Caenorhabditis elegans: one gene and its partner. The protein of the gene in region 1 purifies or fractionates together with the protein of each later gene. This does not show direct contact. Each region holds a gene or a part of one and is shown in the gene's direction. Other genes may lie near its edges.

Region 1 (6,055 bases):
GAAAGGCTGAGCTCAAGGGATTCCAAATTCGTTTTTTAAAAGAAAGATAACAAATTGTAGTGTGTGTGTGTCCCATTCCCTTTTCTTTTTGTCCACGGCCGACGGCTTGGGTTTTCCCACATCCAGAAGTATGACAAGTTCATCAAGAATGCATACTTTTCCCAGTTCACTAGTATACCAGTTTTCACACCCTTCTTCTTTACTAATTACTACTCATTTTATACAATCGTTTTTTTCTTCTTTTTTTCTATGTGTTGCGGCAGAGGCCACCCTGCTTCTTGACAATATGTCACAAATTCGATTGAGGGGAGGGGATTAACAAGCATGTTAATGAGTTGAAAGGGTCAGTGCACTTGTTGATGAGAACAATTTGTCCCGTTTTCTTATTTGACTTTTGAGACTATGTTCAGTATATCTGCTTTAATTTGGATTTTATTATTTCAAAGCTTAAATTTCTAAACCACTAGTGACGTCATTGGCTCGTAAATTGTTCAATTTAAATATAAATATAATTTTAAAAAAGATGATGTACAGCAGGGCTTTGTCAAAAAATTATATCTCATGATTGCCAAATCGGAATATCTGAAAAAAGCGGCAAACACCTCCCGGGTCACGTCTCAAAAAATCCAGCAAGGTGTCGGTTGTGCGTTCTTTTTAACTCCTACTTAACAACTTAAGCGACCGACACCTCCCGTCTTGAACTTTTAGCACCTGGCCAGTAAGGTGTCTGCTGCTCAAATGTTGAATAGCTATAGCGGCCGACACCTTGTGGGCGGCCTGGGAGGTGTCGGTTGCTGCAAGCGCAATTCCAATGCCCCCCCCCCCCCCCAGAAGCTTTTGTTGAACATTGGAATGCGTTTATACATCCTCTGCCACCCATCCTTGGGGTCAATCAAAAGAAGTTGTGTCAGAGAATCGTCTCGTTGCTCTTTCGCTTCCGGTGACTCTCCTTCCACTCCCCATACTGATCGCTTTCTATGATAGCGACGAATGCCCTGGCAGATGGGGAAGGAGGTCAGCTTCTTTCCCTCTACTTTCCCTACTTTTTGGTCAATTTTGCTAGAAAAGTACAAATTCCGTTTAATTCAATTTTTCCCAAGCTTTTTCTCGCACCTCAGAATCGTTTTTTTTTGTTTTTCGAAATCCCCCGGGGAGTCTAGAAATTCGATTAACGTGTTCCGTCTTCAGTCGTTCAGTTTTGTCACACCCCTTGTCTACGAGCTTCCCGCGATAGATCTGCTAAGTGGACGAGTTTTTCCTTTGGCGGCTAGCCGACATTAAGCTCGCAGAAGAGTGGCCTCACTGCTGGCCTAAAAATCCCTGCGGCCACTATTGGGAAGCTATTGGCCTAGAAATCTCACACGGTTACTCAAAAAACTAAGATGTGATTCATTGGCTGGTGGACTAGGTATCACGTCATCAGTGGATTAAAAAAATCCAACTCGGCCACTCAAAATGGAAAAACACATGGGGTGCGGAAGTCATTTGAGGCCTAGAAATCTCACTCGGCCACTGAACTTTAAAACCTTATAGGCTATAACCTCGCTTTTTATGGACTAGATGTGACGTCATCAGTGGCCTAAAAATCCAACTCGGCCACTCTGAATGTGAAAACATATGTGGTGTATTTCCTCGCATTGTGGACAAGATTTGGCGTCACCTGTGGCCTAGAAAACTTCATTTTTCCAGAATTCCAGAATGGAGGGCATCCTTGCATGTGGCGAAGAAGTGACGTCATTGGTGGCCTAGAAATCTCACACACCCACTCAAAGTATAAAACTGATGGGATGTGTGGACTATATTTGACTTCGCAAGGGTACGGTTCTGTGGAAAGTAGCCTCCATCCGCCTCGATCAAAATAATCATAACTTTCGAAACTGTGGCCTAGAACTCTCACACTGACATACACCTTCGCCTGGTGACAAGGCGTGACGTCACAAGGGACTGTCAAGTCTGCACGGCCATATCAGGCCGTGATTCCTGGAAGGTTCCACGTCGCAAGTGCTCTTTAAATCCGAACCTACTAATGGACGTCACAAGTAACCGACAGTCTTGCACGGCCACATCAGGATTCCTTCGGCCAGGAGAAGCTGCGACAAAAAACATAGCCGCAAAGATATGGCCGTTAAATACAAGTGCTCTTTAAATCCAAACCTACAAATGGAAGAGGTTTGACGTCACAAGTGGCCTAGGAATCTTCCCTCCTAGTCCCCTTCCCCTCCCCCATACCATCTCCCCTGTTTCGACTCCTAATTGACGTTGCGGTCAGCTCAAAAACGTATACAAGACCTCGTTGCGCAACTTTTTCGCCACGCCGCCGCAACATTTCACCCAATAACCGAATTACACCAAACATGGCCCCCGCGTATCTTCTCACTGATGGAAGCACATTGTCTTCTTCTAAGACATATATCCCCCTCCCTATTTGTGTGTATATATACACTACGTCCACTTCTTAATTGCATTTATTCATTTGTTCGTTGTTGCTGCTGCTGCTGCTCGACGGCTCCGGCTGTCAGCAGAAGCTGCACCATTTTTCTCACACCCTTTGAAGCGGAGTTTTTGATTTGCATTGATCGTTGAATTTTTCCAGACACCCCTCCTAACTATGAAGCCGTCTAGCTAAAAAAACATGATTCCCATCCGATTCCTGATCTTTACCGGCTCCCTGGCCTACTTGAGCTCGGCGAGACTCATCAATTCTGAAGTTGTGAAGGATGTATCTGTCTACCTGTGCTCCCATATTCCTACCTATTCACATGCCAATATGAATGTGAGATTTTTTTTGAAAAACTTGATAAAAATTCGAAATTTCAGTTCTTCTCCTACCCGGTACAATTTTGTGTCACTCTGAGGTCGGATAAGGGAATACGGTGAGCGGTTTTATACCTTTATACATGTCAAAATACCATAATTAAACATTCCAGAAATTTTTAGATTTTGCTAAATTTTCAGTTAAAGTTTTGGAAAAATTTTAATTTTTTTATAATTTTTGTAGGTTCAACTTAATATTCAAATTCAAAACTCGTATAAAACTTTTTTGATTTTTACTTTTTTGGAGGAAAATCTGGCATTTTTTGAAAAAAAAATGTTTCGGTCACAATTTATTCCAATCAAAAGTTTTTTATTCGTTCACAGCCAGGTTTGCAATAGGTACGTGTGTAGGCGTGAGGCAGGTACGCTTAGTTTTGCATCCTAAAACTTCTTCTTACTAATTCACACCATATTTTCAGTGAAGAAATCCGGGATCTCCAATCAACCACCTCTCTTCAAAGTCGCGTTTCAATATCCTGGAGGCAGTTGGCCACGGCGAACTCTTGCAGACTAACTTTTAAAGGATACCAAACTGAATATCGAATATCTCCAGATCTTGGAGGTTACGAGACTTGCCAATCATCGATCTCAAGGCATTTATTTAAATTGTCACAGGGAATGAATATGGGAATCGAGCATCAGAAGAGGATTGAGTTCAACTCGACAAATCAAGAATGTCCGATTGTTAATGTGCCAACGGTGTATCCGGTAGGCTTGGGTTTTTTTTTAGAAGTCATCTAAAGTCTTTTCCCATATGAAATCGGCAAAATTGCCGGTTTGCTGATTTGGCGGAAAATTTAATTTTCCGCAAATTGCTAATTTGCCGGAAATTTTTTTTCCGGTAATCTGCCGGTTTGCCGATTTAGCGGAAAATTTCAATTCCGGCAATATGGCGATTTACCGGAAATTTTAATTTTCGGCAAATTGCCAATTAGCCGATTTGCCGTTTTGCAGGAAACTTTCATTTCCGGCAATTTTGCCGATTCGCCGATTTGCCGGAAATTTTTAATTCCGCCAAGTTGCCGGTTTCCCGATTTGCCGAAAATGTTTAAATCCGGCAAGTTGCAAATCTGCCGCTTTTCCGATTTAACTTTATTGAGTTTTTGAGGTGATAAAACATTTTGGAATTTTTTTTGGTCGAAATGGTAAAAAAATAAATTATTTTTCAAAAAGTTTCAAAATTTCTTCAACCCAATCTAAACTTTTTTGCAGGAATACGTGGCATGCAAATTTACATCAAATGAATGGTACCAAATTGAATGGAAATCCACAATTCGATACGAGACGTTCAGAAATGGAGAGTATGGTCAGTTGTTTCATATTTTTGTGAAAAATCAGCAGCTCCAATTTTCAGGCACGTATTGGGCAAATGATACTCAGAACTTTATAGTCAAGATGAGCGAAGAAATGAGGAGAAATGGATCAGAACATGTTTGGCTGAAACGATTACTGAAAATTGAATCGAGGTGGGTGAATTTAGAAAAAAAAATGGGAATACGAAATTTGGATATTCACATAAATCGTATTAAAGGCTTTATAAAAAGCAGTAAAATTTGTAGCTCTTGCTCTGAACACAAGCTTCCAAGCAGGCAACAAATTTCTACCCGCCTGCCTTTAAGAATGTCATCTTACTTTGAAGGCAACCTAGGTTTCTTTTTCTTTTTCGCCTGCCTTGTAGGCACATAAATAAGAATTTCTAAGTGCATCGAAGCCTACTCAAAGCATACCCAGACCTTGTGGTTTTAATATATTTACCTTCTAAGCCTAAGCCTGATCCTGAGCCTGAGCCTAAGCCAAAGCTTAAGACTAAGCCTAAGCCTAAACCTAAGCCTAAGTCTAAGCTCAAGCCTAAGCCTATAAGCCTTCTATAGAAAAACAAAAATTTTGACATGGCCTACAGTTCAAAAAGAGATAATTCTTTATTTCCAGACTGAATGGATGTGACTCCACCGAGCTTCTGATCCGATTTGCAGATGATTGGACATATTCATCGAATAGTGTCAGCTTAAGTTATAGAATCTTCGAAGGATCCACAAAAATCCATTCCGATCATATTGGAACATTCGGAGTTGAAGGGTGGAAGGAGATGAATGTTCCGTTGAAAAGAATACCAGGGGATCATGAGATTTGTGCACAGGTAAAGGGTTTTGTAAAAAAATCATTTTTCTATACAAAAAAATTAATTTCCAGCTCCTGAACCCAGCTGTATCCCGTCACTACGTGTGCTCCAAAGTAGTCGATGCTCTCGATTGTCCATTTGTTCTGGTTTCCGTCTCCTCCGATAAATCATCTTTTCTTTGTCTTTTTGTTCTTTTACTTTTTGTCTGTTTTTGAATAGGTTCTAGTTTTTGAAATGCAATAAAAAATCGAAAGTTTAACCATTTCTTTTGTCCTGGGGATTTGGAAGGTTTTGAGGAAACAAGTGTCTAGACACGTCGTTATCATTGTGCTGACCTTGAAATTATCCAAAAAGGCAAGTTTAAGGATAGGTAAGGTAGGTAATAGTATAGTCTAGGCCTAGCCGAAGCCGAAGCCTAAGCCACTGAACAGTCTGAAAGTTTACCACCAATTCTCCAAAGATCGTGGCGAGACCCACCAGAATAACTTTTGATCTTTGCGCACAAAATAGGGTGCATCGATCCAGCGCAAAAATAAAAACAAGCTTCTCACGTATTTAAATTCAAAAGCTTGAGAAAAAAATTTTGAACAAAACTTTCCAAAACATTTTTTTAAAAACGTGACAATTTTCTTATCTAATTTCTAAATCTTTCCACGTGTTTTCCAAATGTCAACGTGTCATGAAAAAAGCTCAGATTGGTTATTACCGAAGAAGTTCTCGTTTGAAATTCGATTCTTCTCACTCAACTCTTCGTCTCGTCGAAATGGCATCGCAATTTCTCCGTTCAACAAACTCGCGGTATGTCGCTGGAGTGCTCGCTGCTCTTGGAGCCGGATCCGCAGTCTACACACTCACTCCACAGGTAATTCTAAAGCCAAAAAAGGGCAATTTTCAGAAATATTTCCTTGCTCCCTTTAATCAGGGACCGCGCAACTCTGAAGCCAATTTGAGGGGGCTCCCAGCGCAGCTGCGTCCGGAGCGGTATGCCCAGAACACGTGATTTGTCATCATTTTGAAGTTTGTAAATCAACTTTTCTGTTTGAGCCGTTCCACGCGCGAGCTGAAACTCTGACATGAGAATATATATTCTGGGAGTCGATTTTTCAGAAAAAGCTTTACAAA
Region 2 (6,357 bases), on another chromosome or scaffold:
CTAATTTATAAATCAGAAATGTGGTTTGTAGGAAGTTATGGTTTGGTGCTTTTCTGAAAAAAAAGTACTGATTCTAAATAGGCTCTTATCTTATCACAATCTGTTTTACATCATTGTGTTGTTTGTGCATCCAAAACGTAAAAATTATTGTGAAATATCATCTTAAATATTTAGTGGAGTGTAATAATCAAATAATCTTGAATAAAGTTGCGCAGGAAATCTGATGCATTGTGTTACGGTGGGTGCACAAATTTTCCAAATGCACCGAATTCCACGCGCAATTTCAATTTTTAAAGTTAAAGCCACCAAAAAACATAGTTGTACCATTAGATTTCTGGACTGACTATGAGTATTCATTTTTCACAACTCTCTTTTTCACAACGTCAGTAATATTTTCCCTCCGCTGTTGCAACTTATTTAGTCACAGTAAGTACTGTATTCAAACCTGAGTTTATTTACGCAAATTCGCCACTGATGTTTGGTTCGTTTCTGTTAATGATTCAACTTGTTCAACTCATACTGTTATAACGAATGCGTTCTCTTTAAGTTGTGATCTATATTTTATACATTTTTGTATTTTTGAATTAATCATTAACATTTTTTTTAACTATCACAAATTTCACTTCACTGTAGTCTTGGAACAATGTGACTTGGTTCATGATAGTTTAATTTTAAAACTCTAACGAAACAGAACAAAAAGAAAACAAAGTCTAAAAACAACTGCTACAATCGAAAACTTAAATTTAAAAAAAATTAAATTGAAAGAGAATCATTTCGGTGGTTGCTCTTCAACTCTCATCGTTGTGGCATTAAATCGTGGTTGGAACATTGCTGGTCCTGCATTCCAAGCTTCAACTTTAACTGGCAATTCGTTTCCGTAAAGATCCAAAAGTGCATTCTTATCAACTTCCTCGTAGATCGACACGCTTTTTGTTGAAGGAGCTTCCTGAAATGGTTGAAAATTGAAAAATAAAATTTTGTGAGTTTCGGAGTTTTTTATTTCAGCATATACATAGTTAATCCCACCTGTTTGATGAACGGCTTCAAGTGCTGGAACTCTGGATCGACACTAAGTGTGAGCGGAGCCCGTCTTGACACAGTTTTCTCATCCAAACCATTTTTGCGAGCACTTTTCTGTGACAAATGAACTTGAAGTGGTGGCAATGGAAACGAATCGGGAAGAACAAGATCTTGCATTGGTGTTGTGCTCGATGTATATGATTTTTCTTGATGTCTGAAAATAAACGAAAATTTCGAATCCTCAATTAAGAATTGCTTACTTGTGTACCAGCTGCCAGTCACTTCTGTTCAAATCCTTTGAAAACTCATAAACGCCAAGATTTTTTCCACGAAAGACCCATTCAGCATAAACTTTTCCTTCGAATAACCATCGGTCCATGCCTGGCTCTGCCTGAAAAGTTTCAGTGATCTTTGTTCATGCTAAAAATCAAGAATGCCCTCAAAATCTTCATATATGACGGATTATTCGGCCATTTCCGTGTCCATTCATTCTTTGTAACAAGACGACCGACACCAAACTGAAAAAAAAACAATTGAATCAAGGGGGAAAACAGCAGAATAACATACGTTGCGGAGTTGTGAGAGAATCTCGAACAAAAACTTTCCTTCCGATGCAATATCATGATTTCCAACAAATCTGATTAAGTTTGAAGACATTTTTATCTGAAACTTTTAAAATTGACTGTGAATCTTGAAGAAAAGGAAAAAATTAGAGAAACAAATTAAATGCTCGAAGAGAAGAAAAAGAATAGAAAAAATGCGCGGCGTGCTTGCAATGAGGCGCAGTGCAGCCGTTTTAGCCCCGCCCCTTGAAATATTCTTCCTTTTATTTATTCAGATTTTCAACTTTAAAATTATTTTAAGCATGTGTTTAGATGTTTTAATTTCATTTTCCCAAACTAAATAAAACTTTAGACAGTTTTTTCATGTAATTAATGACAAAAATGCCACAATTTTCGGTGCAAAACAGTTTTAAAGAAAATGTTATTTTTAAAAATTCATCAAACATTGCTTTTAAATTGTATTTCACTTCTATAATGATCACTCGTACTCATTAACTCAGTTATGTGTGAATGTTATCAGTTTTACAGAATGCGGATAACTCAATCGGCTCAAATCTGTTTGTCAGTCATCAAAAAGAGTCAGAAAACCGGATTTGGTCCAAACAGGCTTCAAAGAAAGGGAACACATTTTGTAGGAACCGAACCACCAGTTCTGAAATATCATATTGTGAGTCATTTCGGAGGTTTTAAATATTTATTGATTAATATTTAGCTTCAAGACAAAAAACCAAATGAGGAATACGGTCTGCAAGGAACCAACCACGAGCTTCCCGGAACTGGAAAAGTGCATAGTAAGCTACCAACTAAGGTATTCAAATATATTACTCGTATGCTACCTTCTGAGCTAATTTTTTTATAGGTTCACATGAAAAAGGATAAAGTTTACGCATGGTGCAGTTGTGGATATAGTGGATCGCAACCACTCTGCGATGGATCCCACAATTCAATTCGAATTCCCGATCTTAAATTGAAACCAGTACGATTTATTCCTGATAAGGACATGACGGTGTGGCTATGCAATTGCAAGCAAACAAATAATCGGTAAGATTTGTTTTTTTGTAAAAGTTAAAAAGTTGCGAAAAATCGTGTTCCTAGAGCTTAAGGAAATTAAGTTAAACTAGTTTCGGACTTTGAAATGAGACGTATTTAATTTGGAAGGTTATGTTCAGATTACCTTATATTGAATGACTTGCAAAAAAATTCATACAAAAAAACCATCCCACGGAAACCCTTTATTCAATTCATAAAAAGCATTATTCTCTCATGTCTTCTACACAAAATTGATCTTCACTCCGTTTTTGAGAAATGCACCGAAATCCATCACAAACACAATGTACTCATCGCTGAAATTAATTTAAATTTGATCTACTAAACGAATTCAGTTTCACTTACACCTTGGAAAAGTTGTACAATTCCAGAGAGTTGTACTGTTTAGTCCTAACTCTTCGAACTCTACGTGACCATCCAGGCTCCAATTCCACGTGGTACAGTACTCCCGATTGATCAGGTGGCAACGTTTGGAAGTATTCGCGAAGAAGCGAAGTGATCACTCTGTTGACTTTTGTGGTCGATTGTACTTCCAATTCGACAACGTTGCTGGAAAAATAAAAAGAATCACGGTATGTTTGCTCATGTGCCTGCCTACATGCCTGGCTTGCCTAAAAATATGATAACTCACTGTTGAACTCCGAGAATATCCAGCTGCTCCAAAACATACAGCTTTACACCAATCATTTCCTGAAGCAATGGATAAATCAGCCGGAAGTCTCCCTTTGCATTGGAAAGGTTGTCCATCACCGACCCGACAGCACAATCCGTCTCCTCAGAACTTTCATGTGGAGAAGGACTCGTACGGCTCGATGCAGATGAAGCTGATTTGACATCAATTCCACGAGATTTCATTTCACGGGCACGGAGACGTTGCTTACGGCAAACTTCTTTCTCAAAGTTTTTCTTCGCTTCTTTCCGATCTTTTCCCTTCCAATAACACATTCTCGAACTACATCCAGTTGTTCCATCCGAATTTTTGAGAATTCCATAGCAAGCAGTGCACAGATAGTGTCCACATCTTCCGATTGTATTCAGAAGATTGGATGGGAATGCTTTCTTGCATGGACCATCACAGATTGCAGTCACTGGCGGAGGGACATCATGGACGACAGTGGTCGCTGAAAAATCTCTTGTAAAGCTATTTTCCAAAGTCAAACTCACATTTGATAGTGTTGAGTGAGCCAATACTCGTGGATCTACTGATCGATTTCTGGAGAATTTTGAGATACTTGTCGTCCGAGTTCTCATTGTCTTCCCAATTGATAGAATATGTATAAGTCGATCTAAAATAAAAAGTCAATATCTTTAGGAGGTTTCTCATTATAATAAGTATACTTACTGTTGAGTTGGAGCATCGAATGCAACTCTCATTTCCACGTTTTTCGGCGACTTGCACATATCCCGAACAAATGGAGGAATGAGCTCCAGAATTCCAGGTACTGGCTGAAAATTTTCTAATATTATATTGAAAATGTTAACTTTATAAATAGTAAAACTCACCAAAAAAGAAGAAAATGAGCTTGCAGATGAGAGAAGTGAATTGTTTGTTTCATTCGAATTGAAATCAGTCATCTTTTTATGATTTTCCGTCCTCGTTTCAATGGAATCACACAAATGACGGGCGGACTGAAGAAGATCACCAAATTTGATGATATGAATAATAAATAATAAATTTGATACCGATTAGCAAGAGTGTTTTTTTTTAAATTAACGTAAAAAATCGGTGCAAAAGTTTTTTTGAAAAGTTCATAACCTTTTACACGCTAAAAACAATGTTTAATATTTGTAAATAATTTTCAAAATTTTATTATTTATTAACAGAAAATATTTCAGATCAAAATTTATTTTAAAACATTATCTTTCAAATTTCATACGTCTCGTTTTTAATTCGGATAAAAAATTATTTCAAACAAATTATTGTTTCCAGGCGCAAAATTTTGCGGATTGTGCGCTAAAAATACGGTACCCGGTCTCGACACGACAATTTTTTATTAATTCTAAAAATGTGTGCGTCTTTAAAGATTACTGTAAATTTAATATTTCGTTGCTGCGAAATTTTCATTGATTTTTAAAAACTCAAATATAAAAATAAAAAGCTGCATAAATTTTAGCAAGTCGTGAGAAAAACTATTAAAAATTCCACAGAAAGTTTGAAATACAGTACTCTTTAAAGACGCACACATTTTTAAATTTAAAAAAAGTACCGTATTTTTGGCGTAATAGTTACGAAAATTCGAAAATATATGCACACCTGCAGTTTTTGATTAATTTACCGTTAAGTTTCTATTCAAAATATAAAAACTAAAATTTCAGACCATTCTGTGATGGATCACACAAAACCGTAACGGACGAGGACAAGAAAGCTGGACTTTTCGATTAATTATGACCAACTCCATATAGTTTTAGGTCTTTACTATTATTGTGTTTTTGTTGAATTAGGCTATTCAGATATCCCCTGTTTTCATAGCTTTGTTTGGTTTCGTATCTAGTTTAATCCCCCACACCGATCATTCTTTTGTACTTTTCTTTGTTTCCTTACAGGTTTTGTGTCTTTAATCCCATCTCAAATTCCCATCAGGTTTGAGAAGGAAGAAAAAAAAAATTAAAAGTTACAAAAACGTCTTCTCATTCGCACTGAAGTTAATCCATCAAATCTCAAAAAAAAACCAAAACACAAAAAACAACAGATTTGTTTCCTCTCTTATATTCCCTCAATTTCTCTTCGGGGGTGCCTGCCTATTCACTTTTCACAAACCAAACGATCTTCCCACTAATTATGGAAAGAAAATTGGGAAAACGAATATATCGCTTTCTTTTCTTTTGCCGTAAAACCATACTTGAAACATCTTCTCATAGACATAGAGACACTTGTAATTTACATAAGCATTCATCCTTCTATTCATCATGCCTAACAATTTAGGATTTTCTCTCTGGATATTGATATTTCACCAACGAAACAAGTCTAGCTGTTCATATTTTATTAGAATTTTATTGATTTGATTTTTACTGAAACGGCTGAAATTGGTGGTCACTTGCCAAACTTCTCAAGACACGGACTTGGTCTCTACACGACCAAAACTTATTCAAATGAAGGACACGCGAAGGGTTATGCGCCTTTAAATAGTACTGTAGTGCCACTTGTTTTAAATGTTTTTCAATTGGGAAAACAAGCAACAAAATTATGAAAAATCAAAGAAAATTGAACTACAGTACTCCTTAAAGGCGCACACTCTTTTCAGTGCCTCTTATTTGAAAATAACCCGGTCGCGGCGAGACCGCATACCGTAGTTTTGCATAAACACCTATAAAATAACGTTTTTTCTTGTTTTCTTTGATTCAATTTGAGAATTACACAAATGTATCGAAATTGGAAAAATGGCCTGGAAAATATCTAAAATCAGTGCCGAATGGCACAAACTTTAGTCTATAAAATTTCCAGCTCACAATTTTTTAATAGTGACACCTTTTTTTTATCAACAATTCAAAAACTCCCAGAGTTATCCCACCCCGTACATACATTCTCAACAGAGCGCGCATGCATCGTTGAACCAGATTCTGTCAAACGTATAACAACATGATGATATAACACTCATTGAAAAGTGCGAAAATGCTCGCTCACCTTTTTCGCCTCTCGTCATTTTCTTTTTACACAAATATTTGCGAATGGTCATGCTCGAAAAGTGAGAGCCGGACGATTGGTTGCTGCTCTGCCGCCTATCGCTCA

Evidence for each region. The genes of interacting proteins can lie anywhere in the genome.
Region 2: the proteins of F32B5.2 (region 1) and cisd-3.1 fractionate together in Caenorhabditis elegans (co-fractionation; one large-scale study listed by BioGRID). This does not show direct contact.

The regions. Positions count from the first base shown.
Region 1 is NC_003279.8:2,694,808-2,700,862, forward strand, and holds F32B5.2 (Glycoprotein), read left to right. Parts: upstream 1-2,591; 5' UTR 2,592-2,632; coding exon 2,633-2,773; intron 2,774-2,817; coding exon 2,818-2,873; intron 2,874-3,233; coding exon 3,234-3,522; intron 3,523-3,756; exon of another isoform or gene 3,757-3,905; intron 3,906-4,026; coding exon 4,027-4,120; intron 4,121-4,168; coding exon 4,169-4,280; intron 4,281-4,743; coding exon 4,744-4,951; intron 4,952-5,004; coding exon 5,005-5,148; 3' UTR 5,149-5,192; downstream 5,193-6,055. Other genes in the region: F32B5.1 (arginine kinase), read left to right, coding at 5,613-5,795.
Region 2 is NC_003281.10:4,540,770-4,547,126, forward strand, and holds cisd-3.1 (Iron-binding zinc finger CDGSH type domain-containing protein), read left to right. Parts: upstream 1-2,111; 5' UTR 2,112-2,112; coding exon 2,113-2,250; intron 2,251-2,295; coding exon 2,296-2,391; intron 2,392-2,442; coding exon 2,443-2,624; intron 2,625-2,798; exon of another isoform or gene 2,799-2,853; coding exon of another isoform or gene 2,854-2,926; intron 2,927-2,975; coding exon of another isoform or gene 2,976-3,179; intron 3,180-3,261; coding exon of another isoform or gene 3,262-3,751; intron 3,752-3,794; coding exon of another isoform or gene 3,795-3,916; intron 3,917-3,972; coding exon of another isoform or gene 3,973-4,076; intron 4,077-4,133; coding exon of another isoform or gene 4,134-4,205; exon of another isoform or gene 4,206-4,290; intron 4,291-4,946; coding exon 4,947-5,013; 3' UTR 5,014-5,256; downstream 5,257-6,357. Other genes in the region: mrps-34 (Mitochondrial Ribosomal Protein, Small), read right to left, coding at 770-946, 1,027-1,234, 1,281-1,411, 1,458-1,538, 1,588-1,677; M88.3 (RING-type domain-containing protein), read right to left, coding at 2,854-2,926, 2,976-3,179, 3,262-3,751, 3,795-3,916, 3,973-4,076, 4,134-4,205.